Linked DNA regions of Mus musculus. Each later gene encodes a partner of the first gene's protein in a complex. Links are inferred from orthologs where the notes say so. Each region holds a gene or a part of one and is shown in the gene's direction. Other genes may lie near its edges. The genes, in order: Piga, Pigh, Dpm2, Pigq, Pigyl, Pigc and Pigp.

What was found.
Region 2: Piga (region 1) and Pigh share a complex: the UniProt entries of both Homo sapiens proteins name them as parts of the glycosylphosphatidylinositol-N-acetylglucosaminyltransferase (GPI-GnT) complex. The link is inferred for Mus musculus from reciprocal best matches to the Homo sapiens genes PIGA and PIGH.
Region 3: Piga (region 1) and Dpm2 share a complex: the UniProt entries of both Homo sapiens proteins name them as parts of the glycosylphosphatidylinositol-N-acetylglucosaminyltransferase (GPI-GnT) complex. The link is inferred for Mus musculus from reciprocal best matches to the Homo sapiens genes PIGA and DPM2.
Region 4: Piga (region 1) and Pigq share a complex: the UniProt entries of both Homo sapiens proteins name them as parts of the glycosylphosphatidylinositol-N-acetylglucosaminyltransferase (GPI-GnT) complex. The link is inferred for Mus musculus from reciprocal best matches to the Homo sapiens genes PIGA and PIGQ.
Region 5: Piga (region 1) and Pigyl share a complex: the UniProt entries of both Homo sapiens proteins name them as parts of the glycosylphosphatidylinositol-N-acetylglucosaminyltransferase (GPI-GnT) complex. The link is inferred for Mus musculus from reciprocal best matches to the Homo sapiens genes PIGA and PIGY.
Region 6: Piga (region 1) and Pigc share a complex: the UniProt entries of both Homo sapiens proteins name them as parts of the glycosylphosphatidylinositol-N-acetylglucosaminyltransferase (GPI-GnT) complex. The link is inferred for Mus musculus from reciprocal best matches to the Homo sapiens genes PIGA and PIGC.
Region 7: Piga (region 1) and Pigp share a complex: the UniProt entries of both Homo sapiens proteins name them as parts of the glycosylphosphatidylinositol-N-acetylglucosaminyltransferase (GPI-GnT) complex. The link is inferred for Mus musculus from reciprocal best matches to the Homo sapiens genes PIGA and PIGP.

Annotation. Positions count from the first base shown.
Region 1 is NC_000086.7:164,418,369-164,422,720, forward strand, and holds the start of Piga (N-acetylglucosaminyl-phosphatidylinositol biosynthetic protein), read left to right. Parts: upstream 1-1,411; 5' UTR 1,412-1,472; intron 1,473-1,499; exon of another isoform or gene 1,500-1,566; intron 1,567-4,215; 5' UTR 4,216-4,277; coding exon 4,278-4,352. UniProt on the Homo sapiens protein: Catalytic subunit of the glycosylphosphatidylinositol-N-acetylglucosaminyltransferase (GPI-GnT) complex that catalyzes the transfer of N-acetylglucosamine from UDP-N-acetylglucosamine to phosphatidylinositol and participates in the first step of GPI biosynthesis.
Region 2 is NC_000078.6:79,086,525-79,090,997, reverse strand, and holds the start of Pigh (phosphatidylinositol N-acetylglucosaminyltransferase subunit H), read left to right. Parts: upstream 1-1,378; coding exon 1,379-1,558; exon of another isoform or gene 1,559-2,293; intron 2,294-4,473. UniProt on the Homo sapiens protein: Part of the glycosylphosphatidylinositol-N-acetylglucosaminyltransferase (GPI-GnT) complex that catalyzes the transfer of N-acetylglucosamine from UDP-N-acetylglucosamine to phosphatidylinositol and participates in the first step of GPI biosynthesis.
Region 3 is NC_000068.7:32,569,289-32,573,884, forward strand, and holds Dpm2 (dolichol phosphate-mannose biosynthesis regulatory protein), read left to right. Parts: upstream 1-1,569; 5' UTR 1,570-1,621; coding exon 1,622-1,624; intron 1,625-1,917; coding exon 1,918-2,007; intron 2,008-3,008; coding exon 3,009-3,111; intron 3,112-3,670; coding exon 3,671-3,729; 3' UTR 3,730-4,283; downstream 4,284-4,596. UniProt on the Homo sapiens protein: Regulates the biosynthesis of dolichol phosphate-mannose. Regulatory subunit of the dolichol-phosphate mannose (DPM) synthase complex; essential for the ER localization and stable expression of DPM1.
Region 4 is NC_000083.6:25,925,823-25,929,210, reverse strand, and holds the end of Pigq (phosphatidylinositol N-acetylglucosaminyltransferase subunit Q), read left to right. Parts: intron 1-358; coding exon 359-420; intron 421-1,454; coding exon 1,455-1,607; 3' UTR 1,608-2,791; downstream 2,792-3,388. UniProt on the Homo sapiens protein: Part of the glycosylphosphatidylinositol-N-acetylglucosaminyltransferase (GPI-GnT) complex that catalyzes the transfer of N-acetylglucosamine from UDP-N-acetylglucosamine to phosphatidylinositol and participates in the first step of GPI biosynthesis.
Region 5 is NC_000075.6:22,155,456-22,159,011, forward strand, and holds Pigyl (phosphatidylinositol N-acetylglucosaminyltransferase subunit Y precursor), read left to right. Parts: upstream 1-1,390; 5' UTR 1,391-1,458; intron 1,459-2,276; 5' UTR 2,277-2,539; coding exon 2,540-2,755; 3' UTR 2,756-2,900; downstream 2,901-3,556. UniProt on the Homo sapiens protein: Part of the glycosylphosphatidylinositol-N-acetylglucosaminyltransferase (GPI-GnT) complex that catalyzes the transfer of N-acetylglucosamine from UDP-N-acetylglucosamine to phosphatidylinositol and participates in the first step of GPI biosynthesis.
Region 6 is NC_000067.6:161,967,770-161,972,259, forward strand, and holds the start of Pigc (phosphatidylinositol N-acetylglucosaminyltransferase subunit C), read left to right. Parts: upstream 1-1,418; 5' UTR 1,419-1,510; exon of another isoform or gene 1,511-1,600; intron 1,601-2,457; exon of another isoform or gene 2,458-2,470; 5' UTR 2,471-2,681; coding exon 2,682-3,575; 3' UTR 3,576-4,490. Other genes in the region: 4930558K02Rik (uncharacterized protein C1orf105 homolog), read right to left, coding at 142-227. UniProt on the Homo sapiens protein: Part of the glycosylphosphatidylinositol-N-acetylglucosaminyltransferase (GPI-GnT) complex that catalyzes the transfer of N-acetylglucosamine from UDP-N-acetylglucosamine to phosphatidylinositol and participates in the first step of GPI biosynthesis.
Region 7 is NC_000082.6:94,367,738-94,372,092, reverse strand, and holds the start of Pigp (phosphatidylinositol N-acetylglucosaminyltransferase subunit P), read left to right. Parts: upstream 1-1,542; 5' UTR 1,543-1,662; coding exon 1,663-1,727; intron 1,728-1,762; exon of another isoform or gene 1,763-1,823; coding exon of another isoform or gene 1,824-1,900; coding exon 1,901-2,004; intron 2,005-4,355. Other genes in the region: E3 ubiquitin-protein ligase TTC3, read right to left, coding at 1,122-1,167. UniProt on the Homo sapiens protein: Part of the glycosylphosphatidylinositol-N-acetylglucosaminyltransferase (GPI-GnT) complex that catalyzes the transfer of N-acetylglucosamine from UDP-N-acetylglucosamine to phosphatidylinositol and participates in the first step of GPI biosynthesis.

The DNA of each region.
Region 1 (4,352 bases):
CTTTTCTTTTTAGACTATTTGATAGTACAACTGGCATTGGCTGCCTTCATACCTTATCATCAGAATATCCAGCACAGCAATATTTTAGTCAAATTCTAGTGGCTTCCAAGAACGTTCTCTAAAGCAGTGTTTCTTAACCTTCCTAATGCTGTGGTGTGATGACCCACAACCATAAAATTATTTTCTTTGCTACTTCATAACTGTAATTTTGCTACTATTATGAATCGTCATGTAAATACCTCCTATACAGGATACCTCAAAGGGGTCCTGACACACTGGTTGAGAGTCTTTGAAGGCATGCTTTGTGGTCGTTCAGGCAGAATACTACAGTTCAAATCTGCTACAACTTTTTTGTTTTGTTTTGTTTTTCCAGACAGGTTCTCTGTGTAGCCCTGGCTGCCCTGGAACTCATTCTGTAGACCAGGCTGGCCTCGAACTCAAAAATCTGCCTGCCTCTGCCTCCCAAGTGCTGGGATTAAAGGCGTGCGCCACCACACCTGGCACAACTTTTTGTTTTGTTTTAGAAAATACCCTTAACTTTACCACAAGCTTCAAGTGGATGCCAGTCATGGTGATGGTGTTGTTGCTTAGAAAACAATTTATTCTAGAAAATGCAGGAATGGCCATGCTGGGGAATCTGCAGGTACCAACTATAAAGAGCAGGTGACTATTACAACAATCGAGAGATTCTGTCTTCTTGGCCAAGCACAATCTGGCTCCAGACCGCAAGACAGTTTTGGCTGAGGACTGCAGCAGCTTGAGCGGGAGCGTTTCAGGTTATACCTAAGATTCCCTGACACCCCCCCCCCCCCATAGAGTTGTAAGACAAAAACAAAATCTGAACTTTTAAAAGGAAAGTCCTCAGTCTTTAGGACACGCACAGATATGTAGATCTAAGATTCAAAGTTCAGAGTTTAGTTTTGACTTGCTGTGATTTTTCTTTATTTTTGTACTTTTATGCATCACATTTAGCAATCCTGCCAGAATAACAAGAATGGATGTGGTTGGTTTGGCTGTGGTACCATACTGACTAGAAACGCCCTGGCCTTGATTTCCCCGCCCCCTACCCTGCCCTTCCTCTTATCCCCGCCCTCCCCGCATTCCCGCTCCTCCCCCCAGCCCCCGGCCCGGCCCGGCCCCGCCTGGTCTCTCTAACCGGAAGGAGGCGGGGAGAGACCGGGCTTCCTGAAAAGAGACGCAGTAACTAAGCAACCAGGGCACTTACGCCCGGGACCTTCCGCAGCTCTTAGGAGACGTGCTCCTGCGCTCGCTGACGCTACAATCCCGCGCTAGAGACTTGGGCCCGACTGGGCGTCTCTCTTCTACGTAATTCAGAACCTCTGTGTGATTGGTTATCATGGGGGCGCGGCGCTCGGATCGCGGACGCTTCTGATTGGTGCTTTGGAGCAGCGGGGCGGGATTCTGTTAACTGCCGCGGGAGGTCCGGACAGTGGCGGCCATGGGACTGGAGGGTAAGTACGCGTCTTGGCTGTCCTTTCTAACGTTCTCGGTCTCTCTGGATGGGGTTGTGCCGTTCTCACAGGACCGTGGCAGGCTGTGGAGGAGGTGAAGCCTACTCTATCTGAGGCCCGGAAGTCGGGTCCGTGGGTCTCCGTAATCAAATGGGGATTGAGGGTGCCTTGAGGGTTGGAACTGGTTCTTAGACTGAGTTTAGTAGAGCGAGTGACTGGAATCTTAGGACGTTTTTCCGAGTCCCTTTGGGTCTGGCCGGATCTTGTCTCATCCTGGGGTGCTGGCTGGTGGACCCGGGCTGATCCTCTTTGGCTCTAGTACACCCGAGCTGCCTCTCAGGGAGTGCGTGTGCACTGCCTTGGGACTGGATTAAAGTATACTTCTCTTGATTTCTCAGCCCTGTCCGAGCCCCCTCTAAGGATCCTCAGAAGCTTCTACTAATAAGGGAGTTCCCTGGGCACGATTGAGAATTTTGAGGACTTCTTGACTTTGTCATTTACATGGCTTGGGTAGGGAAGTTGTACAGATCGCTTAGCATGTAGGGCTGGAGAGAGAATTGACCAGATTTTACAGCCTCTATTCACTTATAGAAGCCAAGATTCAGTGAGTATTTTCACATACTTTCATTTGGTTCATTATTTCTGTTCTTATCATTCACTTCTTAAAACGGGATAGGACTAAAGGACCAGGTTTAGATGACACATGACAGTAGCACAGCATTAGCCACTTGAGGCTTTGCTTTCCCCTTTTGCAAACTTCATATTTTCTTGCTTCCATTATTTGTTTACTTACTGGTTGTAAATTTGGTCTTCCCTCCTCTTTTTTTCCAGTTTATGTGTCCGGGTGCCCCCATGTAGCTGTCTTACCCTGCCCTAGAACCCTCAATTCTCTGTCTCCCAAGCACGTGCTCCTTTCTTTCCTGCCTCCTCCCTCTGAATTTCTGAGACGATTTTAAATGTAGGTGAATTTGTGGGAGAAAATGGACACATGTAGTTGCAGGTGAGAGCTGAAACTCAGAGAGTTAGGATAGTAATCCTCCATTGAGTTCTTTGTAGACTTGTAGATCTCAACTAAGGCGGATTTTTGCCAGATCTCTAAAGCTGTGGCATTAAAAGTCTAAGCATCTATAGAACAGAGTATTGAATGAGCACTTCATATGAGCATCACTTTAGGGAACTCCTAAAGGGAACTTTTCTTAGCCTTAGATGTAGGAAAGAGCCCACATGTAAAGCCTGTGTCCTGTTCCATTTCCTTTCAGGGTCTACACTGAAAGGGTGCTCAGGGGAAAGGCTTCCATAATTAAAAGAAGGGTTCTGAAAAGAGAAGGGAGCAGTTTAAGCATAGCTATCCTTGAATAAGGAAGGAGAAGCCAGATTGTCTTCAGCATGAGCTCTAGGGAACACTTGAAGAGGGTGTTCTTAAAAAGAAAGCTCTAGTTCCAGGTACATTTTAAAGGAAACCACAGAGATAATACCAGCAGAGCCTTATGGGATGTACTGGGTCACTAGCTAAGCTGTGCAGCCCTAATCAGCACATTTTCTGTGAAGAACCAGATGGTAAATATTTTAGGCTCTGTGGGTCATCTGATTTCTTTCAAAGCCACAGAAGTAGCCATTCAGAATATAAGTGAATGGGCAAGCCAGGTTCCTGTAAAAATTTGTTCGTAAAAATAGACAATGTGCCAGTATACTTAGATTCACATCCTAGCCTGTTTTAGTATCCTTTTCTGCTTCACAACCCAGAACAAAAGGCAGTGCTATAAAACAGCCTTTTTGCTATTTTTCATGACTCTGGAATCTGCTAGACTTAGCTAGTGGTACTTTTATGAGTCTTTTCAGGGGTTTCTGTAGAAGGCTGCATTTAGCTAGAGGTCTGGCTAGAAATTGGGCGCAGGTAAGAATGTAGAGGTGGCTGGGTCCCTATCTCTCCATGTAGCTTGTAAGCCCTTTTCCTCTCATTGTCTCCCCCATGTCCTTCTAACCTAGTAGCTGTATGATAACTCCAGAAGTAAAAGCCATCGAACCTTTCATAGGCTGAGGTCAAAGATCTGCATGTCCCTTTTACCATGTCCTGTGGCTTACATGGTCCCAGTGCAAGGGAGATTCCTAGGTGCAGTGGTGCACACCTGTAATCCCAGCCCTCAGGAGACTGAGGCCAGGAATATTGAATTCAAGGTCAGCATGAGCTATAAGCTAAAACTTGGCTTTAAAAGTATGTGGGAAGGTATGGTCGCTAATAGCCTGGCACATTGTGTTCTAACTTCTTTAAGCTTTTGGCTTTGCATTTACACTATATAATTGATACCTTGTATAGGTCTGTCAACTAGACTATGGCCACATATAGAAAACTCTTAGTCTGTGTAGTGTTGGATAGATAGTGATTTAATAGGTAAGAAAGCTTAATAAGCTGATAAGAGTGATAAGAGAAGCAGGGAAATGGATGTTTAATTTTTTGAAAGAATTGGTTTTGTAGCAAACCATTATGCACTGTGACACAACGTTTAAAAGTGGACCAGTTTCCCAGCTCAGTTAACACATTGCAGAATCTCAGTTCTTTTGTCCTATGGCATCACCCTGCTAAGCAAGTAGATGTTCTCAAATGAATACGTTTATAGTGTGCTTTGCTTTTATTTCTAAGTGAAAAACTTTAAAAATATGCCTTAACATTAAAACTATTTCTAACAGGATTTGAGGTATGAAAGGAGATGCAGTTTTGAGCTGATGTCCTGCTTTTCTCTTTCAGGTGACAGAAGACACATTTCTTAACTGGCTTGCTCTGAGAACTGATGCTTGGACCACCTCAGCATGGCCAATAGAAGAGGAGGTGGGCAAGGCCAGCCTCCTTCAGTGTCGCCTTCCCCGGGTAGCTCTGGAAACCTT
Region 2 (4,473 bases), on another chromosome or scaffold:
TATAGTGACTCAAGTTCTAAGAATAAATTCAAAACAGTGGAAATAATTACATCATCAGAAGTATGATTGTCTGTGCACTGCCACAGTAGTGCTCCATCCATGCAAATATATGGTTGGCAAACAGCATCTATTAGTGGCTCCCCCAGTTACCTTTCCCTAGTGATAAGTACTTGAAGAACCAGCCTGCTTCCATATTAGGCTTGAAAGTCATCTTACAGTGAAGACAATCTAGGTTCATTCTTGTTTATGAGTAAACCTGTTTTTCAAGGATTGAGCTATGCCCCACCTGTGACCTTAACTACAAATGGTTCTGTACTGCTTGTTCCAAGAATGCAATCACGTCTTTGTTTCAAAAAGTTGTTTATAGTCATCTTGCAACCTGACCTTTGCTTCAAAGGGTTATATAGCTACCTTGTTAGGCCCATCTTTGCAACCTTGTGTCTCTGTTCCAGAGGGACTTACTTGCTATGCTTGTGTGCTGCTCCTATAACTATATTTTGACAGACAAACCCCTCATTTGGAAACCTTCCTATCCCTGAGCTATAAAAGCCTGCCTTCACATCCAAAGCTGAACCCCATCTCAGGAGGAGGCAGCCCGTGTATGTGAATTTTTAAAGCTTGCTTTAATTAATTTGGTCATGATGATTTGGGTGGCGGTCTTTCTCCTCTCGTTTTTTTTTTTTTTTTGGATTAATATACTCTTTAGCAGCTGAGCCATCTGCCCAACTCAAAGCCTACCTTCTCTTCCCATGCATCCTAGCCTTGCTAGTTTTTTGATTCCTGTGACTGAAACCCATTCCAGCCTCCAACTTTGTTTTTTCCTGGTCCTTCTTTCTGGAGACTACCCCCACCTCCACCCCAACTCCCCACAGAACAGTGTGGCCCTTGTAGGTTTAATGGCGAAGACCTTTAAGACCTTTACTTAAAGCTGCCCAGACCTTCTACTAGTCTGAACATTTTTGTCAATAACACTACTTAAGTTACGTCTATTTTTTTTTTTTTTTCCTACTAGGAAAGAAGCTATGTAGAGACAGAAATCTTCAGTACCTAAAATCCCTTCGCAGGGAAATGAATGAATGAATGAATGAATGGTTACACCTGCAGACCATTTTGGGGGAGTCTTTCTGGCGTAACAATATAAATGAGTCAGTCAAATGAACAGAGATCTTAATCTGCCCAAAACTGGTGCCGCGGTTCTGGGGAGTTTGGGCTAAGGATAAACTGGGAGAACTTGCTGCAAGTCCCAGCCCTGCTCTCAGTGAGCGACTACGGCTGCGCGGACAGGCAGGGCTCAGCCGCTTCCGGGATGGTCGGGAGCCAACGAGACTTCGAGCCTCCGGGTGGGCTAGAGCGGCGCGACATTCAGGTGTGTGCGGCCATGGAGGACGAGAAGAGCTTCTCCGATATCTGCGGCGGCCGCCTAGCCCTGCGGTGCCGCTACTACTCACCGTACTGCCGCGAGTTCGGCCTCAGCTCGGCTCGGCTGTCGCTGTGCTCGCTCACCGCGGTCACCTGCGCGGTGTGGCTGGCGGCCTACGGGCTCTTCACCCTGTGCGAGGTAAAGGCGGGCGCTCGGCCGGCGCAGGCAGCTTGGAGAGGTCTCGGGGCTGACCCGTGGGTCCGGGAGGGTGGGGACTCCCTGGATCAGGGTCGCCGTTCCACGGCAGGACTGCCCTCCCTCCCCGAGAAGTTTGTGCTTCTGGACGTTCTACCACAGTGGACCTACTTGCCCTGCTCATTCATGGAACATAACCTCCTCAGAGAACTCAGTGCATCCTCCCGCATCACTTACTGGGTACCAAAGCCAACGGATAGCAGGCGTGCGACAGAATTACAGAAAAGTTTTTGCCTCCACAACTGTGCAGTACAGAATCTCCACCTAATATCTGTTTCTCAAGGCCAGGTCAACTACCATCCCCTCTCCCAACCCTTCCCCAGTTTAAGTGCATTTTCTAAAGTGTTGCCAGGTCTAAGACACGAGGGTTTTCTATGCTCAGTTTTCAGACTTTCTAATCTTTTTTCCCCCCGAGCCTCATTTTTAACATCTCTAAGTTGAAATTAATGGTTCAAAATATTGCGAAGGTCAACTGCTATTATTTTGTGACAGTTCCCAAGCAAAAAGAGTCATCCGATTGGCCTTTGTTCAGGATGTTCTGTTCTGTTTTAACTCCCTGTATAGCCCTAAAATGAATATATTATTCCAGGAGTGATCTTAATAGAGCCAGTACACCAGAACTGTTTATTTCTGCAATTTTCATATTGTTTGTATTAAAACATCCCTTAGCTTTTTTCTATTCTTTTGCTATTATTATTATTCTTACTTTGTCTGGACTGGAAGGCTCTATGTGGAGCCTGCCTCTGCCTCCCTAGGGTTAGGATCAAAGGTGTGTGTCATCATACCTGGTTCAATCACATTTATGCTATCAAAGTGTGTGGCAGAGCATCATAATTTGCACAGATTTTCATAGATGAAGTTAAGTCCCCTCACTGAGGGTCTGGGGAATGAATGGCTCATCAGATGACTGCAGCGACTGCCAAACCTGACCACCTAATGCCAAACCTGACCACCTAATGCCAAACCTGACCACCTAAGCCGAATCCCCAGAACCCACATGATGGGAGGGAAGAATGGATTCAAAAAAATTGTCCTCTGACCTCTGCACAATAAATAAATATAAATAGTAGGGGCTGGTGTGGTGGTGCACACCTTTAATCCCAGCACTAGGGAAACAGAGGAAGGAACATCTCTGAATTCAAGGCCAGCCTGGCTACATCAGTCTACATTACCAGCTCCAGAACAAACCAAGGCTACACAGTGAAACCCTGCCTCAAACACAACACAAATAGTATTTTTTAAAAGACTCCTAATCTTTACCAATTTATATTTAAAAGTGTCTTCACAGGTCAGTTGAAGTTATTAAACTGACCTAGTCCTTCCCCAAAATTTTTAATATAATTGGATTTTTATTCTTTTTTGGGGGGATGGGGAGTGTTGGGGTCTTACCATGTAGCCTTGGCTGTTCTTGAACTCACTGTATAAACCAGGCTGGCCTGTAACTCAGAGATTCACCTGTCACTGCCTCACAAGTGCTGTTGTTAAAGGGATACATCACCATGCCCAGTTGAATGTTAATGCCAGCCTATGTTCCTGATACCCGTGCAGTTATCTGCTGAATTTCTTATTTCAACCCCCCGGGGGGGTTCATAAAGAGTAATACTTTAATAACCTTGACATTGATAAAGTGACAAAGCTGGGCTTCCAAACTGGAGCTGCCTGACTTTGAAATCCCTTTCCATTGTACTTTGGCCTCGCAGATCTCAGGCAGTTGCAATTGTTACTGGTTGGTTTGTTCAGAGATACAGGGTCTTGCTATGTAGTTTAGGCTGTCCACACACTCTGCTTCGTCCTGGTTCAGCCCCTGTGAAGGCCTGGGCTGACAGGTGAGTGAACCACACCCAGCTCAGAGCTGTTCTGTCAGTTCCCTACTGCACTCATCTCTCTGGCATGGACACCCAAATGTCCCCCAAATGCACAAGTAATTGTGCTCTCTTCCATTACTTCAAGACTTCCCGAGGCCTCTGTGTGCAAGAGTTCAGATCTCTGCTCCTATTCAAACTCATTCATGGAAAGAACTCTCAAAGGACTCCTTCAGATGTGTGGCTCAACCCTGACTCAGATGAGCGGTGTGCATCCTTAGAATTTTGGCCAGGAAAATGGACTTTGAGGCAGATTATCTTAACAGAGGCTGAGTGGGTAACATTCCCTAAGCATTCATTGTTCTTCAGCCTGTCATCCCCTGCTTTTGATCGGTTTAGTTAACATCACTCCAATCTGCAGTGCAGTACCCTTTCAGCAGAGTGCACCTGTCAGCATGCACTACTTCTCTGCACCACCTGGGTCCTGAGGCCTTGGAAGTCTTTATGGAACAGCTGTGTGCATTGATCTATCTCTCTGTCTCCCTCTCTTCTTTTTCCCTCTCCATCATTTTTTCCTTCCTTCCCCCCTTCCTCTTCTCTTTCTCCTCCCTCTGACACTTTAAAGTCAGTAACACAGTATTCTAGACTTTTGTTTTTTAATCATTCTTGCAACCTGTAGAGGGCTGAGTTTTACCTTGGCTTTCTTCCACGGTGCTTATTTAGTTTGCACTGCTTGCAAGACACCACCCTGCACCTGAAGTTAATTAGCAGAAAGTAGCTGTTTCTGGGTCATCAGAGGCCCTGTTCTCACTCCTGCTTACCAGCCAGAAATAATCATCTGAACGGAAGTCATCAAGCTCTTTCTTTAAAAGGCCAAATTAATATTTTAGGCTTTGTGGATCCCTGTCCCATATTCTTTTGTCCTTTTATTTAAAATTTATGTGTATGGGTGTGTTGCGTATATGTCTGTACATGACATACATGCCTTGTGCTCAAGGAGGTGAGAAGAGGGTGTCAGGTCCCCTGGAACTGGAGTTATAGACAGTTGTGAACTTC
Region 3 (4,596 bases), on another chromosome or scaffold:
AATGAACACTGGTGGCAGCCAGAGGCTAAGAGCCTTTCCTCCTGCGCTCAGTGATCCCCACGGGTGCCCAGAGCACCTGGACTTCAAATTCTATATACAAAGATAGAGGATATATTAGAGGTATTTTTGAAAAGGAATTGGTCTATGCAATGCCAGTTTGGGACCTGTAAGACAGTTTAATGTTTCTATTAGAGAGATATAAAAGATCTGCAATATTTTTAGGGTTCTTTTCTGGTTACCCTACAGCTGACCACGTGGTCTGGCAGGATGAGCAGGCCCATCTTCTTCTGTGGGGAGAATTTGCTTTTGTGTTATTCCTTTCTAACCAGGTTACCACTGCACCCCATTCCGTGGGCTGTTCATATCTGTCTCAGCTTATAATAGAAAATTATGTCATATGGGGAAATCAGCCTAGTGTCAATGTTTGGTTTGGGGGTGGAATTAAATGCCGATGTTTTTGTTACTGCTTTTTGTTGGTGTTTCTTTTCATTCTCATCACCGTGTTGACTTGGGGGCTGCTAACAGGAGTTAGCCATGTATGTGTAAGATGACATGCTGGGGAAAGTAGGTTAGTGTTCTCCAGTCTGACCCCAGTCATAATGCTCACCACAAACACACACATACATATTACATATATGTCCACACATGTTTGTATGAATATGAATGGGCACTTGACAAAGGTCGGAGAACACCTGTTACTCCTGAACCTCTTCTTGTTTGAGACGGTGTCTCACTCTGGTTTTGGGGAAAGAATAAAACGTTTTTATTTGGTATTTATAAGGTTTCCTTTAGCCATGAGGTTTAAGGAGACCTACTACTCCTCATGCCTCCAGAGTGTTGGGACTACAGAAATGCACCACCATGCCCAGCATCAATTCGGGGATCTTAAAGCCCCACTTTTGGTCCTAATCATCGAAGAAACTGGTTAAAAATACCTGTCAGGGCACAAAGAGGGAGCTGTTGCCTCTGGTTGCAGAAATGGATAACCTGCATGGTGTAGCATTTGGAGAAGAATGGATCTACAGCAGCTAGCCCCATATGCCATGAGAGTAGTGTTCTGGGTGAGAAACAGAAGAAAAGCATGAAAGATAATTTGGCCCAGCGCCCCTTGGTTCTAAGAGGGCCATTCTGAAACCTCTGGCAGTGGACAATGAAGGGAAGCCTAGAAAGTTCCCTAGGAAGCCAACCAGTGGAAATTCTCATAGGCCAGGCCAGTGGTGGTCATTCTATACAGACTCTTCCATTAACAGTTTCAAGGCCAGAATGTAGAGCCTTTGAATTCTGATGTCTGCTTCAACAACCAACTCATTATGATCTATCCCTTTCCGGGACTTCCAACTCTGGGGTACATCTCACTCTGGCTTGGGACTGTAGGATAATGTTTAAATGATTATTGTTTGGGAAGGGTCTGACAGGGATGTAGCCACAAAAACCTGAAAGTCTGAGCTCCCGGCCCTACAGTTCCCTGCAGAAACTACATTTCCCGACATGCACTGGAGGGCGGGGAAAAGTGCCCGCACGTCAGCTCAGACGAGTCTCCGCGTGTCACGTGATTTACAAGCCGGAAAGGCCTAAACCAGGAACCGGATGTATTTTGTTGCTCCGGCGGAACGCTGGAGAGATGGTGAGCCTGGGGTGGAGTACATGTGTGATTTGAGGGTACCAGGGGTCGGGGCTCTGAGTAAGAGTCTCCTTGGGAGATGGAGTTGGGCTCTCCAAACCCAGATCGCTCTCTCCACCGCTTGCAGACAGGTGACACGAGGCCTGACGTGGCTTTCTAAACCCGAGAGCCACTTCTAGTAAGCCCTCCGTGGTTCTAAATGAATGAGAGGTTTGGAGTGTAAACCGGCTGCTCCGACCCTCCGTTAGTGCTTGTACACGAGCCATCTCGCCTGCTGAGCCTTTATTTTTCTCCAGGCCACCGGGACAGACCAAGCAGTAGGATTTGGCCTTGTCGCCGTTAGCTTGATCATCTTCACCTACTACACCACTTGGGTGATTCTCTTGGTATGTGTGCCCCACCCCCACCCCGCTCACCTTCATTTTGCTCTGGATCTCTAAGCCAGTTTCCTAACGCGACTTAATCAGCGTCTGTGTGCCAGCGTCTGGATGTTTAGCTAGCTCTAATCTCACGAAATCTACACTATGGTGCTTGCAGATGGTGTCTACATTTTATAGATGAGGAGGCTAAGACTCGGGGAGAAGGCTGTTTCTCAGCCTCTGAACTGCCGCACAGTGAGGCTTTATTTTGTGTTTGTCCTCCTGGTTAGCCAGCAGGTTCCTGGGTGTAGCAGTCGCCGGTGGAGTTTATTAACATCTCAAGTCTCTCTCTCTCTCTCTCTCTCTCTCTCTCTCTCTCTGCCTCTCTCTTTAATGTGGGAAATTTTGTTAGTTATTGTTTTAAAGTACACTGTGCTTGGAAAGGGGCATCTTGCAGTACTTGGTATCCTTCAGAGAGGAAAGTTAGGTGGGCTGACCTTCGGTGATGAAGAGAACTGGCTGATTCTCCAGAGGACTGGGGTTCAAGTTCCAGCACCCACATGGCCAGCTACAACCATCTGTAACTCCAGCTCCAGGAGACCCAGCAAAAGTCCCTGGAACGGAACGCCATTGCTGCTTAAGTTGTGTTAGGAGTTAGATTGGAGATCCAGGGCTTGGATGAAAGTACACCTGGACTCACAGGCACAAATGCATGATCAAAAAATAAAGACCTCTTTAAAAGACCTAGAGTTCTCAGAAGGCAGAAGAAGGGGGGAGGGCAGCTTGGTGAGGTCAGCCAGGGCCTCAGAAATCAAAAAGGATGGTTTCCAGCACTCACAAGGCCCAGGCAGTATTCAACAATACAGAGACAATATGGTGGGTCTCTTGTTATGATACATATCCACGCTTGGGGATGCTATCAAGGTGGGCCCTCAGTATCCAGTGCTGCCAGGGGGAGGTGGGACGGCTTCCCTTTGGGGCTGAGTAAGGTGAGCAGTACTCACCAGAGCTCTTGCCCTTGGTGCCAGCCATTCATTGACAGCCAGCATGTCATCCACAAATACTTCCTGCCCCGCGCCTACGCCGTCCTCCTCCCGTTGGCCGCAGGCCTCCTGCTGCTCCTATTTGTGGGTAAGTCTCCCGATCTGGGGCAGGGTGTCTGGAAGGCAGCGTGCTTCCACATGCTGGCACCTGCTGTACATCTGCTTAGACTCTCCTTGTCACCAATGCTCCCCGGGGCTTTCCTATTCCTTAAAGGCCACGGGCAGAAGCTCCTCTAGTGGTGTTCCCAGTTTTCAGGTTCCTGGGGCAATGAGGACATGGCTCCCCTTTCTTTCCTGTCTCAGCTTCATCTTCATCTCTTCAATGTTCCTGCCTCAAGTCACCCTGGCATCTCTTACGGCTCTGTGGGTTGGGAACTGTGTCTTTGCTGTTACGCTATTCTAAGCTCTAGCCCAGGAGCCTAAAAGAGTGCTTGGGTTGACTGAGGAACCACATGGCCGGATGATGCACAGGTGGTTAGCCTTGCACCATTTTGGTGATAGTTAACTGACCCTCAGTGGCTGTGTGACCTAGTGAATGACTGCAAAGATGCACCCCTAGGGGGGTTGGTTGGGAGCCTGACCTTGCATGCCTGGCCACCTAGCTTCCACTCCAATCCTCCCAGTCCCTCCTATTCTGTGTATTACAGGATTGTTCATCACCTATGTGATGCTGAAGAGCCAGAAGATAACCAAGAAGGCTCAGTGAAGGTCCAGCAGGGATGAGGCTGTAGGGGCCTTCTCCATATCTCCTCCAGAAAAGGGACCAAGGGTCACAGCTTACAAGATGGTCAAGCTGGCTGCACTGCAGCCCTCTTTGGGACATGGGGCTGTTTTCTTCTCAGTTTGACAACCTGGAGCCCTCTCTCTCTTGGTCATCCTTTTAGAAGCCAAGAGAAAGGTGGGTTGGGAAGCCTCTCACTTCCCTTAGGCTCAGAGGCTGAACATTGCTGGTTGGTCCTGTCCATCTCACAGTCAAAGCTCCCTGTCCCTTCCACCGAGTTCTCTCCTCTCACCTCTGTGCTCCTCCCACTGTGCTGATGGATTGAGCAGGCCTTCCCGCCTCTCTGTACAAGTCCTGTCCCGTCACAAGGCAGCTCTTCCGAGTCTGACACTTCCCAGGCTCCATGAGGACTTCTGGACCCAGGAAGCCCTGGGGAAAGACTGACAAACCCCAGAACCACAGGGTTACATCCAGGCAGCCACACTAGACCACAATTGGCCTGTTTGGGAAAACTTACAAATAAATGTTAATTGCGTTGGTGTTTGTCTCTCTGCCATCCTTGCTCTGGGGAAACTGGCTAGAGGAGGCTCAGATGCTACTGAGTTGTGCAATGAGGGCACCTCAGGTTGTACATTTGCGATGTCCCTATGTCAGACACAGGGTAAAACTGGAACTGGGATAGATATGATTCTTACTCGGGAAATGTCACAGCGGAGAATCAGAAGCCTGGCGCATCTGCTAAGGCCTAGTGTAGCCCAGTCTGACATTAAACTACATAGCTGAGGGTGGCCTTGAACTTCTGATCTTTTTGACTCTATATCCCCAAGGTTAAGATACCACATGTCATGAGGG
Region 4 (3,388 bases), on another chromosome or scaffold:
TCGAAAAACCAAAAAAAAAAAAAAAAAAAGGAACCTTCCTGGGCATTTCCTAGACCTGGAACTCAAAATACAGGCCAGGGGTGCTATGGGTTCCTAAGTCACAGACACAGAAGCTGTAGGGCACTGAACTATTAACAGGGCATCTGCCACCCAGCATAGAGGCAGCTGGGAAAGTAGAGGAGGAGAGAACCCTGTGTTCCCAGGCAGGTCTGCTGCCTCCTGGGTGTGCTCAAAGGGGCTAGAAGCATCCGAAATTGCCATCTACAGCAGCCTCTGCTGACCCATAGCGTTCTGTGGGACCAGTGAAAGCTGATTGGGTATTGCCACCTTCCTTCCTAAATCCTTTGCTTTCCTATAGCTGGTGTGAAGTTCAGAGTTCTGGAAAAGGAGGCAGGCAGACCCCTCCGCCTCCTGATGCAGGTAAGAACTCTCTATGCTTCACTGCTACTCGGACCCGGGATCCCCACCTTCCATCAGACTCCCCAGTGTCCTGGGACAGCTGGTGTGATACTGTGGTGTTAGAGCAGCCAGAGGTCACATAGAGGTAGAAGGACCCAGTGGAGCTAAGGGATAGGTTCCCTGGCATCTGAGCACTATAACTCACTGTCTGGAGCCTCCCCAGCAGAGTTATGGCTACTTATTGTGATCTACATAGTTGATATCTAGTCCAGCCTGTGGGTGGAGTGCCCATACTTGGCTAGAGACATCATGAAGCTGCCCTGAGTCCCATAGTGCTCAAGATTGTGATAAAACAGAAATGACTTTACAAAGGCCTCATGACAAGTAGTCATTTCCTGTTGGTCTTGAACCCTTGACTCTTTCAGTCACAGATTCCAGTCCCCGTGAAGGGAGCAGAACATGTTTTGGGGTGACTTGCCAGGTATTGAGTTGTACCTTGGTCCAAGTCCAAGACTCTTAGATGCAGAAGCATCTGGCATGATCTCCTCCTCCTCTTCCTCCTCCTCCTCTTCCTCCTCCTCCTCTTCCTCTTCTTCTTCCTCCTCCTCCTCCTCTTCTTCCTCCTCCTCCCCCTCTTCCTCCTCTTCCTCCTCTTCCTCCTCTTCCTCCTCTTCCTCCTCCTCCTCCTCCTCCTCCTCCTCCTCCTCTTCCTCCTCCTCCTCCTCCTCCTCCTCCTCCTCCTCCTCCTCCTCCTCTTCTTCCTCCTCCCAGAAGCCTAGAAACAGAATAGATTCTAGGATAGGGCAGACACTGAACTCCCCTGCCATCATTCCCTCCTTAGGGGACCAAAGTGCTATATGGTTGCTTCTCTAAGGATAGATAGCATGGCTATTCCATAGGCAAACATTTGTCTGGGTTTGCCCTACATTTGTCTTGCTAAAGATTCTCTAGAGAGCCAGTCAGGCCCAGGGTGCCAGCCCTCAAGAGCTTCTTCTGTAGACACAGCTGAAGCACCCAGGACCACTACCCTACTGATATCTCCCCTGCCCTTGCAGATAAACCCCCTGTCCTATAACCATGTGATGCACATCTACCGTCTGCCTCGCTGTGGCTGCCATCCCAAGCACTCCTGGGGTACCCTGTGCCGAAAGCTGGTCTTCGGAGAGCTCATCTACCCCTGGAGGCAGAGAGAGGACAAACAGGACTGAGGAGCTGGACACAGCCTACCCATAGCTACTGCACAACCATCACGCCTCCTCTCTGCCAGGACAGCACTGACCACGGGGTCATCTCAGGTCCCACAAGGGCCAACCAAACACTCTGTGTGCTGAATGTAGGCAGGCCTTACCCTTGAGTTACTACTTTGCTCTCGGACCCTGCCAGCTTCAGTCCTGCACTCTATCTAGCACAGTGGTTCTCAACCGTCCCAAAGCTGACCCTTTAATACAGTTCCTCATGTTGTGGTGACCCCAACCATAAAATTATATTCATTACTACTTCATTACTGTTAATTTTGCTACTGCTATGAATCATGATATAATATAAATATCTGTGTTTTCTGACAGTCATAGGTGAACCCTGTGAAAGTGTCATATGACACCCACCCCAAAGGGTTGAGAACCACTGCTCTAGTATCACCTATGTAGGGACCCACATGGTTTTTGTAGTCATTACAGTGAGCCTGATTCCTAGGAGTTCCCGGACCCCGTGGGATATGCTGGCAGGTGCTCTTGGCTGCTTTATTGGGTGGGAGCACTCCTGGGCACCTGGTGTACTTCATAAGCCTCCGCAGAACATTTCCATTGGGAAACAGGCAGCTGCTGATCCCTTAGCCCCTCGAACTAATCCCTCACCCTGTACTTCATTGGGCTTACTTGCTACTCTGGAGATTGCTTTGTGAAGTTGCTGTTAATAGGCCTTTGGGTACCCTTTGCTTGAAGTTATATCAACTGAGGTGATTGGATACCTGCCAACCTGGCTAGTGCTCCATGTATGAATAGGCCCTTTGGCAAAATATTCTATGTTCTCTTATAGACTCCTTATGGGACCAGATAGCTTCCTTCTGGACAGGCACTTCATGGCTCATTGTGTGAATGATCTTGGGGTGGTGAAATGGCCAGGGTTGGTTCCCTAACACTTAGTGGGACCCCATGTGAGCTAGTCCCTAGGGGGCAGGAAACCTCACTGCCTGAATTGTCTACTGTGGGCAGGAGGGGACAGCCGGCCCAGCCTGTCTTTCAGGGGCACTTGGGACTATTGACATTGGTCTGTCTGTGCCTGCTTCCTCTTGCTATAGGTCACAGCCACTCTTAAGCAGCCAGTGGAGGGTTTTGGTGAAGATGAATCCTGATCCTGTGATGACAATAAAAATCTCATGAATCTGGAGTACCAGCTTGGGTGTCCTGCTCGTCTGGCCAGGCTCTAGGTGGGTGGGCTAGGTGGGGCACTGGGTTACCCCAGGTGACTATCATCATTTCCTGCCTAAGGCCTCTGCAGAGGCTCTGCTGAGTTGCAGCCCTAGGTACTTGAAGACGTCATAGATAGGTGAACAGAGCTAGAGCCTCAGTGCCTCTGGCCATAGTTTCACCCAGATTCCGGGAGCTGGGATACAGTCTGGAAGGGCTGGGGTTGTCTAATCTGGGCTTTGACTATGTGGATTCCAAACAAAGCAGAGCTCTGCCCTGGACTGACAAGTTTCTCTATGTAGTCTTGGCTATCCCAGAACTCACTCTGTAGACCAGGCTGGCTCACACACAGATCAGCCTGCCTCTGCCTCCCTAGTGCTGGGACTGAAGGAGTGTGCCAATACCACACATCTTCAACTGACTCTTAGCATCTGCAGTCTTCAGATGCCTCCAGGCCTGTCATCCTGGTTATGAAGAAGGGTCCCTCAGTTGCTTTCTAGCCTGGGACTCCACAAAGGATCAGTATAAGCCAACTGGGGAGTGCCATAGGGCCCTGTGTGACCCTGTGCCCAGAGAGAGCCTGC
Region 5 (3,556 bases), on another chromosome or scaffold:
TTCCCTGCCCTTTGAACTTTGGGGCAAAACCCCTCTACGCTAAGAACTTGGTCTTGGGTATCTTGCGCCAATACTGGCCTTTTCACAGGCGTGTGTAGTGAGTGCCTTTACCTCTTGAACTATCTTGCTGGCTATTTTTTGTTCCGATTTTAAATTTTTAAATTAAAAAATGTTTGTTACTTGCTCTGTGTAAACCATAGGATGGTTTGTCCTCAGCTCTCTCCTGCCACCTTGTGGTTGCAACAGAAGCTGCACGGACTCTATACCACTACTTACCTCTGAGAAGAAAAACTTTCTGATCTTTTAGCTTGCGGGAAGATTAAGGGATGGAGCTTCCTGTGCAGTACTGTGCAGAATCCTAGCTCAGCCTCATTTTTCTTTACGCTGGGATCAGAGATAACACTGCCTCACTAGGCAAGGCAGTGGCCGGCCCCGTGGACAGCATTTACGAACACCGTCCCTCCCCCCAACCCCAAGGCACACACACTCATCGTCTTACTATGTAGTCCGGATGACCTGGAACTTGCTATGTAGACCAGGCTGGTCTCGAACTCACAGAAATCCGCTAGCTTTTGCCTAAGGAGTGCTAGGATTAGGAGTGTGCTTGGCTACATTTTCTCTTAAAACTTCATTTTGCACTTTTTGCGGGAGTACACTCAGGTGTGCCACAATACATGTGTGGAGGTCAGAGGAAAATAGTTCTCCACCATGTGGGTACCGGAAGGTCGATCTCAGGTAGTCTGACCTGGCAGGAAACGCCTATACTCGCTGAGCCATCTCATCAGCACAAACTATTATTTTGCCATTTACCGATTCATACGTAAAATAATGTATCAGTCATCTTTCCGCTGCTTAAGAGGATAGATGATAGTGGCTGAGGCCAGGTGCGATTCAGGATTCAAGTTTATCAATTAGAAGTGGGGAAGGCAGCCGGGCATGGTGGTGCACGCCTTTAACCCCAGCAGAGGCAGAGGCAAGTGGATTTCTGAGTTCGAGGCCAGCCTGTTCTACAGAGTGAGTTCCAGGACAGCCAGGGCTGTCTCGAAAAACCAAAAAAAAAAAGTGGGGAAGGCTTTTCAGTGCAGAAAGACCCCACTGTCTGCTCTGGAGCGCCATGAATAAACTGTGGCAAATACGTTCCTCTCCTACTTCCAGCAGGACTAGCATAGGGGACGCCCAGCCAGAGACGATGGGATCCTTAGCTATCCGGTGCTCTCAGAGTCTTTCTGGCCTCACCCGTCAATCAAGACCACGGGGGCGGAGCCTGAGCCTGGGAGCGAAGGCAAGGTGAACTGTCCAATGAGCACGCGCGGACCGGCTCCATCGCGGGATCTGGGTTCCTCACCCCGCCCCTGCAGGGATTTGATTGGGCGGCTGGCCGGGCTGTCCCGCCTTCGTGGGGCGGTGACTGTCACCGCCAGGCGCCGAAGGGACCGGACTCCTACAGGCCTGCAAACGGTGAGTTGAGGGTCTCGAAATACGAGCGGAGGAGCTGTTGAAACCGGCTGGGGCGGGACTCGCGCCAGCTTGGCGTCTGCGCCATGGACGCCGCCGACTCCGTTTGTCTGGCTGGTTCGTTTTCGGTTCGGCCGGGTTCCCCCTGTCCTGTCTTGCCCCGCTCGGCTCGGCTCGGTTTTCTTCGGCTCGGCTCGGCTCGGCTCGGCTCTGTCCCTCCGTCGGTCAGAGACTGCAGCGGGCTCGTTGCCCCTTCTGGTCCCCGAGGCGACTGCGCCCAAGGGATGGCGCTGTCTTCGGTCTGTGCATTGACCGCGGGTGGCTCGTGACCTGGCCCCAGGTTCTGGTGCTGGTTCCCAGCCAGTCCTCGTATAGAAAGCCTCACTCAGATGTCTGAAGCGAACCCGGATTTGTAGGTCGCATTCCGCTTCCCCAGTTCACAAAAACATTATCAGTCCACCTGTCCTTCATTCTGTTTTTCAAATTGCTTACTTCCCAAAGTAATTCATGACACTTGTAGTGTTTTAAGCATGGTCTGGCAGCCGTTCTTTTGTCACTGCCTCCTCAATACTGATACCTCTGATGGGGGTCACTATAGGCAGTTTTGGAGGACACTCCTTTTTTTAAAGGCTTCTTTCTAGCCGGATGTGGTGGCTTGGGGAGGCTGATGCAGGAGGATCACAACGTTCGAGGCCAGCCTGCCGGTTCCAGCAATCCTGTCTCTAACCTACTCAGTGCTGGTACTGGCTGCTTCCCCATCCTTTCCTCTCCCTTCCCGTCGCCTGCCCTTCATCTTGTCATCTTGCATTTTTCTCATACAGTTAAAAGACCTCTCGCCTGCGCTGCGAGGGACACAGGTGGTGTCTGCAGTCGCTGGTAACCGCTGCGTGTGACGCGGAGGCTGAGGAGCCGGCACCTTCGGCCTGGGACCCCTGGACTTTCTGCGTGCCCTTGGGAAGCATGCCTGGGTGAATGAGGAGTCGGGACAAGGGGAAGATAAGACAAGAGCGCACCCGCACGAGAACAGAACTTTTCAAACAACTGAGTTTTCTTGAGACAGTTAACCTTTTAAGAAGGGAGGAAGATGATCCGGTCCCTGCCCACCATGACCGTCCTCATCCCACTGGTCTCGCTGGCAGGCCTGCTCTACTCCGCCTCCGTGGAGGAAGGCTTCCCAGAGGGCTGCACCAGCGCCAGCAGCCTGTGCTTCTACAGCTTGCTCTTGCCGGTCACCGTGCCTGTGTACGTGTTCTTCCATCTGTGGACATGGATGGGCCTGAAGCTCTTCAGACATAACTAGGGGAGCCGAGGCCCCTCCTGCTCGGGCTGCCTGCGGAGTGGGGCATGGCCGGAGGTTCCTGGCTGTTGCAGATTCTTTTGTAGCTGAAAAATACTTTTCAATAAAATGTCTTATGGGAGAGGAACACGACCAGCCTTCATCCAAAGACTGTTTCTTCTAAGATTTGTTCTTAATTGTGTGTCTGTGTGTGGGTATGCGCATGTGAGTGTGGGTGCCCAAGGAGGCCATGCAAGTGATGGGTCCCTGGAGTTGGGGGTACAGGCAGTTGTAGGCTACCGGAGCTGTGTTCAGATCATCCATAAAGGATGCGAGTTCATGTTCTTAGCCCCTGAGCCATCTCTCTGCCCGCCTATTGCCTTCTCATTTAGTTCTGGGGAACCTCAAGCTGTGAGAGGCAGACCTTGTCCTCCTTACCTTCCTGTCTCTACCTCCTGAGTGCTAAACTTATAGGCAAGAGCTCCACATCCATTCATGTGGTGCTGGAGGAACCCAGGGTTTCAGGAACGCCAAGCCAGCACTCTGCCAACCAAGCACCCAGGCCCTAAGGACTGTCTTTTTTTTAGCCCATTCATTTAAAAGTTAGTTGTTTGGAAGCCAGGCAGTGGTGACACACACACTTGGGAGGCAGAGGTGGATCTCTTGAGGGTCCAGGCCAGCATAGTGAGACTGTCAAAAATAATTTGGGATTTTGTTTCCGCTTCAAGGTCAATGGTGAAGTGTTAGGTTTGACTCCTCCCAGAGGAGCTGAGTGGAGTAGTGCCATATATAAAAACCAATATCTGGAAGCTGGACATACCAAGC
Region 6 (4,490 bases), on another chromosome or scaffold:
GTTTCTTTCTTTTTTCTTTTTCTTTTTCTTTTTTTTGCATTCGACTTGGTTTCTCAACAGGGCACATGCACCTCTCCACCTTAAGAGTACAACCACTGAGCTCTGCCTCGAAGGCTCTGTCCTCAGAAGCTGGGAAGTTACCTTCTGGGGATGCTCAGGATCAATGGTTTGTTTACCAGGCTGGCCTCACTCAGCCAAGGAATCTTGTCAAACTTTGGAACAAAAGCCTACAGAGAGAGAAATGGAAAGAGATCAGGTTGCAGAGTTTATCACACTTCCGAAGACTAAATCTTAAAGGGAGTCACAGGGCCAGAGAGATGCCTTGGTGGCTAACAGCACTCCTTCCTCTTGGAGAAAAGCCAGGTTTAGTTGACAGCACCCACAAGCCAGCTCATGACTGCCTGTAACTATAGCGGCAGGGGACCTAGCACCTTCTTCTGACCTCCACAGACACCTGGAGTCAGGAGCACATATGTAGACATAATTAAAAACAAAATATTAAAAAAAAGTTAAAATACTTGACCAGTGCTGGTATTACAATAAGCAAAGTAAGCTAACAGCAACCACACAGCAATCAATACATTGCAAACTATTTTAACACGAGAGTCCTCCAACCATTCCATAAGGTGGCCAAGAACAAATAAGCGCCTTCTTTCTTTTACAGACAAAGAATTCAAAGCCCAGATAGTGTGAATATGAATAAATGGGTTCATGCTTTCTGCCTCTGTGTCCACACTATTTAACAGTCTCTATATTTTAAATTCTTCGAGCTTCCATCTATTTATAAATCCTGTGACACTTCCAAGACCCCAGTTGAAAATCAGCAATCTCTCGTCCCAAAGGCTCTCCACCCTCATCTCTTTTAGGTGGCAAAGTCTAGGAAAGGATCCAGCTTTGGAGCCATCCACATTTGGATATTTCTGATCTACTTGCAATTACTAACCAGCTGCCTGACTTTGGTCAAAAACAAACTAATGATCGCATCGTCTCTGTGCAAGTCAACGCACAGGATGCTATGTGAGATCTGGGATCTCCCCGACTCCCCCCCCCTTTTTTTTTTTTTTTTTTTTTTTTTTTTTTTTTTTTGGTGAATACCAGAAGCCTGGTTTGGCACCTATAGGAGGAGGGTTTGGATGCATGGAAAGTCCCTTGGCTGAGAGCCTGTCAACACATGTCATGGTAACCTTGCAGTTACCAGTCTTCCACCAGCCCCGCGACTCTTCCTGCCTTCTCCTGCCTTCCACACCCTGTGAAGTAATTCCCACTGAGGGATTTGCTTCCCAGGCTTAGCATTCCACTAGGAGCAGATTGCCAGGAGAGGAGCAATCAGTAGAGGGCAGCAGTGACCTCGCGGTGTGGAGTCTCGGGGCGGGACGCTTTGGCCGCCGAGTGCTGCGGATCCGGAAGTGCTCCTCCACAGTAGTCCCCTTCCAAGCCGGCGTCCCGGATGTAGAAGTAGCTAGGCGGCCGCTCTTCTCGGTCGTGCACCCCCCTAAAGAGCTTGGTGCAGGTGGGTTCCGGCGTCCTTCGCTGTGAGCGCTTCCGGCTGATCCAAGGCTGGGGCGGGGGTCGGCAGCGGCGGGCGGGGCAGGCCGGTTGGGTGAGTGGTAGCCCAAGACCCTTCGCCGCCCGGTGACGGGGACCTTTCAAATCCCGAGGTCCCAGTGCGTGAGGGCCGACTCCAGGGTGTACGGCTTTTAAAGCAAAGGTCTATCCTAGCCTCCACGAAAAATACAGACGGTCCGGCAGGAAGTTCTTTCTCGAATTTGCTGAATGACCTCTGTGTTTACGACTGGGATGATTGTTTTCTTGATCCTGCGCTAGAGTTTTGCTGTTTCAGTTAATTAGGATGATATAGCACTTTAAAGGATAGTAAGTTCAGCTAATGAACAAAAAAGATTTGAGTTCTTGGTTTGGGCTAAAACTATAGAGAGATCATGCCCTTTTGTACGGTGCAGGTTATTGTCATTCGACCGATAACTTATTCAGATACCTTTGGGGACCTAGTAACGGCTATGGATGGATTCTGTCCCTATAAATTTGCGTAAGTTGCAAATATAATCATGCAAAAATAGTATAAACCTTAGAGTGTATGAATGCCCAAGTTAAGACTGGCTTAGAGAAGGACGACCAGAAGCAGAGACTTTGACACTAGACTTTTGTAGGAGGTCTGGCTCCACGCTGTTAGCCTGGGACCTAAATACTCTACTGTTTTGAAACTCAGATGTCTTATTAGGTAAACTCATAACTGGTATTAACTTGTAAGGCTGTGACAGTTAAAGAAGGTGCATAAGACATTTAACATTCTGAGTTAGATGCAGATATCAATTATTAAGACTACACTTTAAAATGTGAAGGCTTAATGCCGCATTATGTCACCAGACACAATTTATCTAGGCTTTCAGTAAGCCAAGTTGTTTTTTATTGTATCTGATGCCAGCTTCCATATATTTACAGTTCTCTCTTCTAGGAATTTAGCTGTGTTGTCCTGACCCTCAGGACAAACTCATCTAATGCAGGCTCAGCTTGTACTGAAGGCTTTGTAAACAAGGAAAGTTCTGTAGGGTATCAGCATGGCATTTCCAGAGAGTTCTTAATCTACAGATTTATCAAGAACCAGAACCCCATGGACGTCCCTGAGGGAGATTGAGCCAACCTGGATTTGAGGAAAGAATGAGATAATGTGTGCTCAACGTGTAACAGACACCCCAGAAGTCAAGTGGCAGAAGGTTTTATATGAGCGGCAGCCGTTCCCTGATAACTATGTTGACCAGAGGTTCCTGGAAGAACTCCGGAAAAACATCTATGCCCGGAAGTACCAGTACTGGGCTGTGGTATTTGAGTCCAGTGTGGTGATACAGCAGCTGTGCAGTGTCTGTGTTTTTGTAGTGATCTGGTGGTACATGGATGAGGGTCTTCTGGCTCCCCAGTGGCTTTTTGGGACCGGACTGGCATCTTCCTTGGTTGGGTATGTTTTATTCGATCTTATCGATGGAGGTGATGGACGGAAGAAGAGTGGGCGGACCCGGTGGGCCGACCTGAAGAGTACTCTGGTCTTTATCACTTTCACTTACGGTTTTTCACCTGTGCTAAAGACCCTGACGGAGTCTGTCAGTACAGACACTATCTACGCCATGGCAGTCTTTATGCTGTTAGGCCATCTCATCTTCTTTGATTACGGTGCCAATGCTGCTATTGTATCCAGCACCCTGTCCTTGAACATGGCCATCTTTGCTTCTGTTTGCCTGGCCTCACGCCTCCCCCGGTCACTCCACGCCTTCATTATGGTGACGTTTGCTATCCAGATCTTTGCACTGTGGCCCATGTTACAGAAGAAACTGAAGGCGTACACCCCGCGAAGCTATGTAGGGGTCACTTTGCTTTTTGCCTTTTCTGCCTTTGGAGGTCTTCTGTCCATTAGTGCTGTGGGAGCCATACTCTTTGCTCTCCTGCTGTTTTCCATCTCCTGTCTCTGCCCTTACTACCTCATTCATCTGCAGCTTTTTAAGGAAAATATTCACGGGCCTTGGGATGAAGCTGAAATCAAGGAAGACTTGTCTAGGTTCCTTAGCTAATCTAGGGACCTTCATTTCATTATTAAGACCAGCGGAAAGACTTCGAGCCTAACCGGTGCAACATTTAAAGGCAGGGGTCCACTCTTGAAGCAGCCGACTGATCTAGATGGTAGAGCTGAGATCAGAAGAAAGCATTTAACCAAGGGCTTAGGGGAGGGTGCTTGTCCTTCAGTTATTTTGTGACTGAAAAAGCTTTCTGGTGCTGTTATGAATTATTGTCCTTTATTCCCTGTAACAAATGATGTAATGTGGGTTCTGCTTATTAAAAAAGTAATATCCATTGCATTGTCTAGTATTTTAAAAAAAACAAAACAAGGAAACCCTTATTTATGTGTGTATAAGAGAGGGGGTTTGTCTATTTCCAGTATGTATGTCCCACGCATCAAATTCAGGCCCTGGCAACAGGCCTTTACCAGCTGAGCCATCACACTGGCCCTGTCTCATTTTTATGAGAGCATAAGACAAAAGTAGTATGAAGGTGTGTGTGTGTGTGTAAAAGTGTAATCAGTTGTTTAGCCTTTTCTGTGTATACTAAGGGACACCTTTATATATCTAGAGCCCAAATTTGAGAATCCCTGATGGTGGCATCCAGTTTGTTGTCCAATACCACAGAAGTGGTCACTCAAGGAGAGCTACATGCCATAGAAACAAAACGTTAGCGATATGAAAGAGGCTGGAGGGTGAGTTCATCTCAGGCAGTTAGGAAACCAGAGGTGACATTTAATTTACTCGTGGAGGATAGCAGGTGAAAGCCTTTGAGAAACAGATAGGTAATACTAGTGAGAATGGAAAACTATGGACCAAGCAAGTGTGCCCAGTGAGGGCAGCTGTTACCGCTCCAAAAGTGTTGTTTCTACTCAGTTTGGGAGTCATACCTGTGGCTCAGAGAAAGTAAATATTGCAGTAACTGTGATT
Region 7 (4,355 bases), on another chromosome or scaffold:
AGCGCAAAGCACAAACCCCTGACAAGCACAGTAGTGGCAATTGAATCCCTAGGAGAGTTTTACCGTATAACAAACCCATTTTTCTTAAAATAAAATACACATTTCTTGAAAGAACGTGTTCTAACTAGAGCTGTGGTTGTGAGAAAACTGCCCCGGAGAGAGCAGTAAAACCTGTATGATTTCAACCCTGTTCCCTTGATCCCTCGCCAGAGTCCAGAGCTTTAAAAGGCTGCTATAAACACCCTGCAATACCCAGTGTTAGCCATCGCCTGGTGAGAGGCACAAGCACAAACGGTGGAAAGAATTTGCAAACTGAAGGACGTCTGGAAACTACAAGCTTCTGAGAAAGGTACCGTGCAGTGGTACCGACACACCCTCGGCTTCATTTTGGTCCTTTGTCCCCCCACCCCCCTAGTCTGTCCCCTCCCCAATAGGAGATGGCAGCCCAGGCCTCAGTGACGTCGCCAGCACTGCGGAGCAGCAGCCCTGCGCAGGCGTAGGAAAAGGCTGCAGGTGGGGAGGTGGGGTGGGGGGCAGCTCTGCGTCCCTCCCGGGTCCTCCCAGAAACGGGGGTGGGGGTGGGGGGGAGAGGCGCGCACACACAGACCAGGGGCAGCGCGCACGCGCGTCACCGCAATTCCAACCCCGCGCACGCCACAGGGCCCCTACACAGCGCACCTTTGGGGACCCTCGAGGACGCACGCGCGCGCCTGCCACTGCAGCCTGCCGCAGCGGCGGGTGGGCGGGCGCGCGCGGGTGCTGAGGAGGGGGCGCGCACACCACAGGGAAGGCAGTGACAAAGGTGGGAGGGGAACCACCATCCTCAGAGGATGAGAAGGACGCCCACGCCGTCGTAGGGAAGGGAGAGCGTAGGAACAAAGCGGGCCAGCCGCAGACCCAGAGGCGCGTCCCCGAGCGCTCGGAACGCGGGAACGGGTACCTGACCCGGGATGTCACCCGCACGCCAGGCGACGCGCACACAAAAGACCCCCCTTCTACCGTTAAGGACGCCCGAGGGTCACTGGACAAAGGGAACACACCCACAAGGGCAAGGGCGGCCACACCCCCTCAGCGCGCGGGCGCTCGGCGAGACGCGCGGCGACGCGCACACCCACACTCACCACACACCCACGGAGGGAGGTGTGGAGCGCCCCGATGCCCGGGCATCTCGGCTGCGGCGGGACGCGCAGACGCTTCCGTGAGCCCCGCCGCGCGCAGGGTCTGCACTCACCCGGGCCCGCAGCCCGCGAGCCTCAGACGCGGGCTGCCGACGCCTCCGGCCCTCCACGTCAACCAGACCCGCAGAGCGAACGCTCCGCGGCTCCTGAGGCGGGCGGGTCACGTGGCTTAGGGTGCGCATGCGCAGTCGCCGCGTCGCCCCCTCAGCTCGGTGGGGTGGGTGGTGAGACCGTGCTAGCCCCCTCGCTGCGGTCGCGGTGCGCCTGCGCCAAGCGGCGGGGGCGCCTGCCAGCCTCTGCTTTTCCTCAGGTTTTTTTTTTTTTTTAATTTCCGCCCACGCTGCGGGGGTAGCTGAGCCGCGCCTGCGCATTGGACTGAGTGGGGCTGAAGGGTGGGGACGGGTGGGCGTCGGTGCTCGCAGGACTCAAGGTCCCGGGCCTCCTGTTTCCTCTGAGCCTCACGAAGGCTGGGACAGGGCCCATCATGAGAGGGCAGGACTCGGGGCCTCTGTCCAGCCCGGGCCCCTTCCTCGCCTCAGAGGGTCCGAGGTGCGCATTTTCCCCGCAGCGCGCGCTCCCGCCGCCCCCTCAGCTGCAGTGGCGCGCGCGCGCGAACATCCGCAGTGGCTGTGTCCGCAGCAAGCGATGAGATTATGTAACAGACCATTGGTGAAGGGGGGCGGGGGGAGATGTCTGACGACGATTGTGTTCCTTTTCCACAGATTGTCTAAAGCCACAGGGAAGATGGTGGAAAATTCACCGTCGCCATTGCCAGAAAGAGCGATTTATGGCTTTGTTCTTTTCCTAAGCTCACAATTTGGCTTCAGTAAGTACTGGAATGATGGATGGCCAAGGCCCTTAATGGTATTGAGAACCAGGAAATAATGTGTTTGTCCTTAGAACGTACACACATGAACTGTTGATTCTTTCTACCTGTGTCTCTTCACGAGTCCTAAAAGGGGTACCGTTTGTTTGCTCAGTTTATGTATGCAGTTCTAGATGAACTCTCCAATATTTATTTAGCACTAGGCTTGATGCTAATGTGAATAAAACCTGGCCCCAATCCTTGAGGTCATAGTCATGTGGAGAAGCATAGTAAACCCACAGTTCAGAGAGCATGATGAGTGCCCTGGAAGAGCCTTGGAAGGTTTAGAAATTGGGGTTAGCTACCTCCAGGCCACTCCCTGGCAGTTCTATCAGAATAAGTCAGGAAGGACCATGGATAGAGTCTCTGAGTGAAGGCCTGTGAAGGTTTGGAAGTGAGATGCTTATAGCTCCAGGATAGCATGCTGTAGCTGAAGAGTGAAGATAATGGGCCAGAGAAGTCAGGTGTAAGAATGTACCCTTAACGTCTGGGATCTGCATTAATGCCCACAATGTTCCATTTTGTAGATGAGGCCACTGAGGCTTACAAAACAAAACAAAACAAAAACAAAGAACAAAAACAAACTTAATATGACCAACTCAACAAACAGAACCAAAGTCCCTCTTCAAATAGTTTGGAAGATATGAGGCAATCAAGTGGTAGAAAATTGAATGCCCACAATCCAACCTGGTCCTTGATAGAAATCAGAATGTCTATGTGGAGGTATCCTTCCCAATTCTTAAGTGAAAAGTACTAGCTTAGCTGTAGTGTAGTGGGATGAAGAAGCTACAGTTACTGGCTCTTTCGTGGAATCATTGTTTGGCCTGAGAGCTTTGTGTTTTGCATGAAGTGAACCTGTGAAGTAGGTGCTGCCTTGCTTCCTCAGTTTAAAGATGGGAATACTGAATTTAAGTAACTTGATCAAAGCCAAATAGCAACAGGACTGGAATTAGAACAGGTATACTGGCAGACTTCACTCTACTGAAGTCCTTTGACTCTTGTATTAACTTGGGTAATTTATGCAAAGAAGCTGCTTAATAAACATTAGCTGCCCTTTATTTCTATAAATTACTATTCAAAGAGGATTTTAAGGATTGGAATCTACAAGCATGTTAGATAAACCAAAACCTAATTGAAGAATTTACTGAGCACTTACTATGTATCAGACAGTGTTAGAGGCCAGGGAAAGGTAAAATAACCAAACCTTGTCTGCCTTCATTTGAGCTTTCTGCATACTTGGAGACGACAGATAAGTAAAACATATCCAGGAAGCAAAACAGGGATAGGGTGGAGGAGATTAAGGAGCAGGAAGAGCCCTCCTCATGTGCTGTGCTGCTGTGTGCTATCTTTTAATACTACAACTTACCATGCAGAAAGGAAAAGATCTCTGTAAGCATCTTTGTTCGGCACCAGAAGCTTACAGAAAGCACAAACCATCTCTTCAGGAGTTACTGTATTCCAGTCTTGGCATACAAAGCTCTGTAACACTTCATTCTTAAGACAAAACCCACCACTGCTGATGTAGCCTGAAACCTGTCTCCACCACTTCCTTTGTACAAATGAGTCCTTTCTTGTGTATAAAAATATACATGTGCGTCTCAGGACTGTTTTGAGGATTAAACGAGTTAGTCCATGTGGAGAAGTTTAGAATCTATTGTTAAAACACGGAGACAGCAGAAAAGGAGCCTACAAGACTGGGTATTGGTAGAAAGAAGATTGTACATAGACAGTCAGAACCAGAGGTGACAAGTTCCCTTTAAGCAACTACTTCTTAAGTAATTACTTCTTCCCTATGGAGAAACAATGAGCATGTAAAATGCAGGAGCAAATTCTAGCAATAAGTTCCTAAGAAATATGTCCATAGACTTTTTTTAAATTATCATTAAATTTGCTTACAATTCAAATGATATCCCCCTTCCCCGTTACCCCTCCACAAATCCCCCATCCCATCCCTCCTCTCTCCCCTCCCCTTTGCCTCTATGAGGGTGCTCCCCCACCCACTCACCCACTCCTGCCTCACCACTCTAGCATCCCCCTATGCTGGGGCATCAAGCCTCCACAGGACCAAGGACCTTCCCTCCTAATCATGTCGGATAAGGCCAATCTCTGCAGGATACTTATCTGGACCCATGGATCCCTCCATGTAAACTCTCTGTTGGTGGTTTAGTCTCTGGGAGTGCTGGGTGGTAGCCTTAGACTTTTTAAAGTACAGTATAAAAGCTAAGACACTAAAAACGTGTTAATATGGTAATTATGGTAAGTATTCTAAGACTGGTACAAATAAGGAGCTACAGATCCTGAATTTTGAGAGA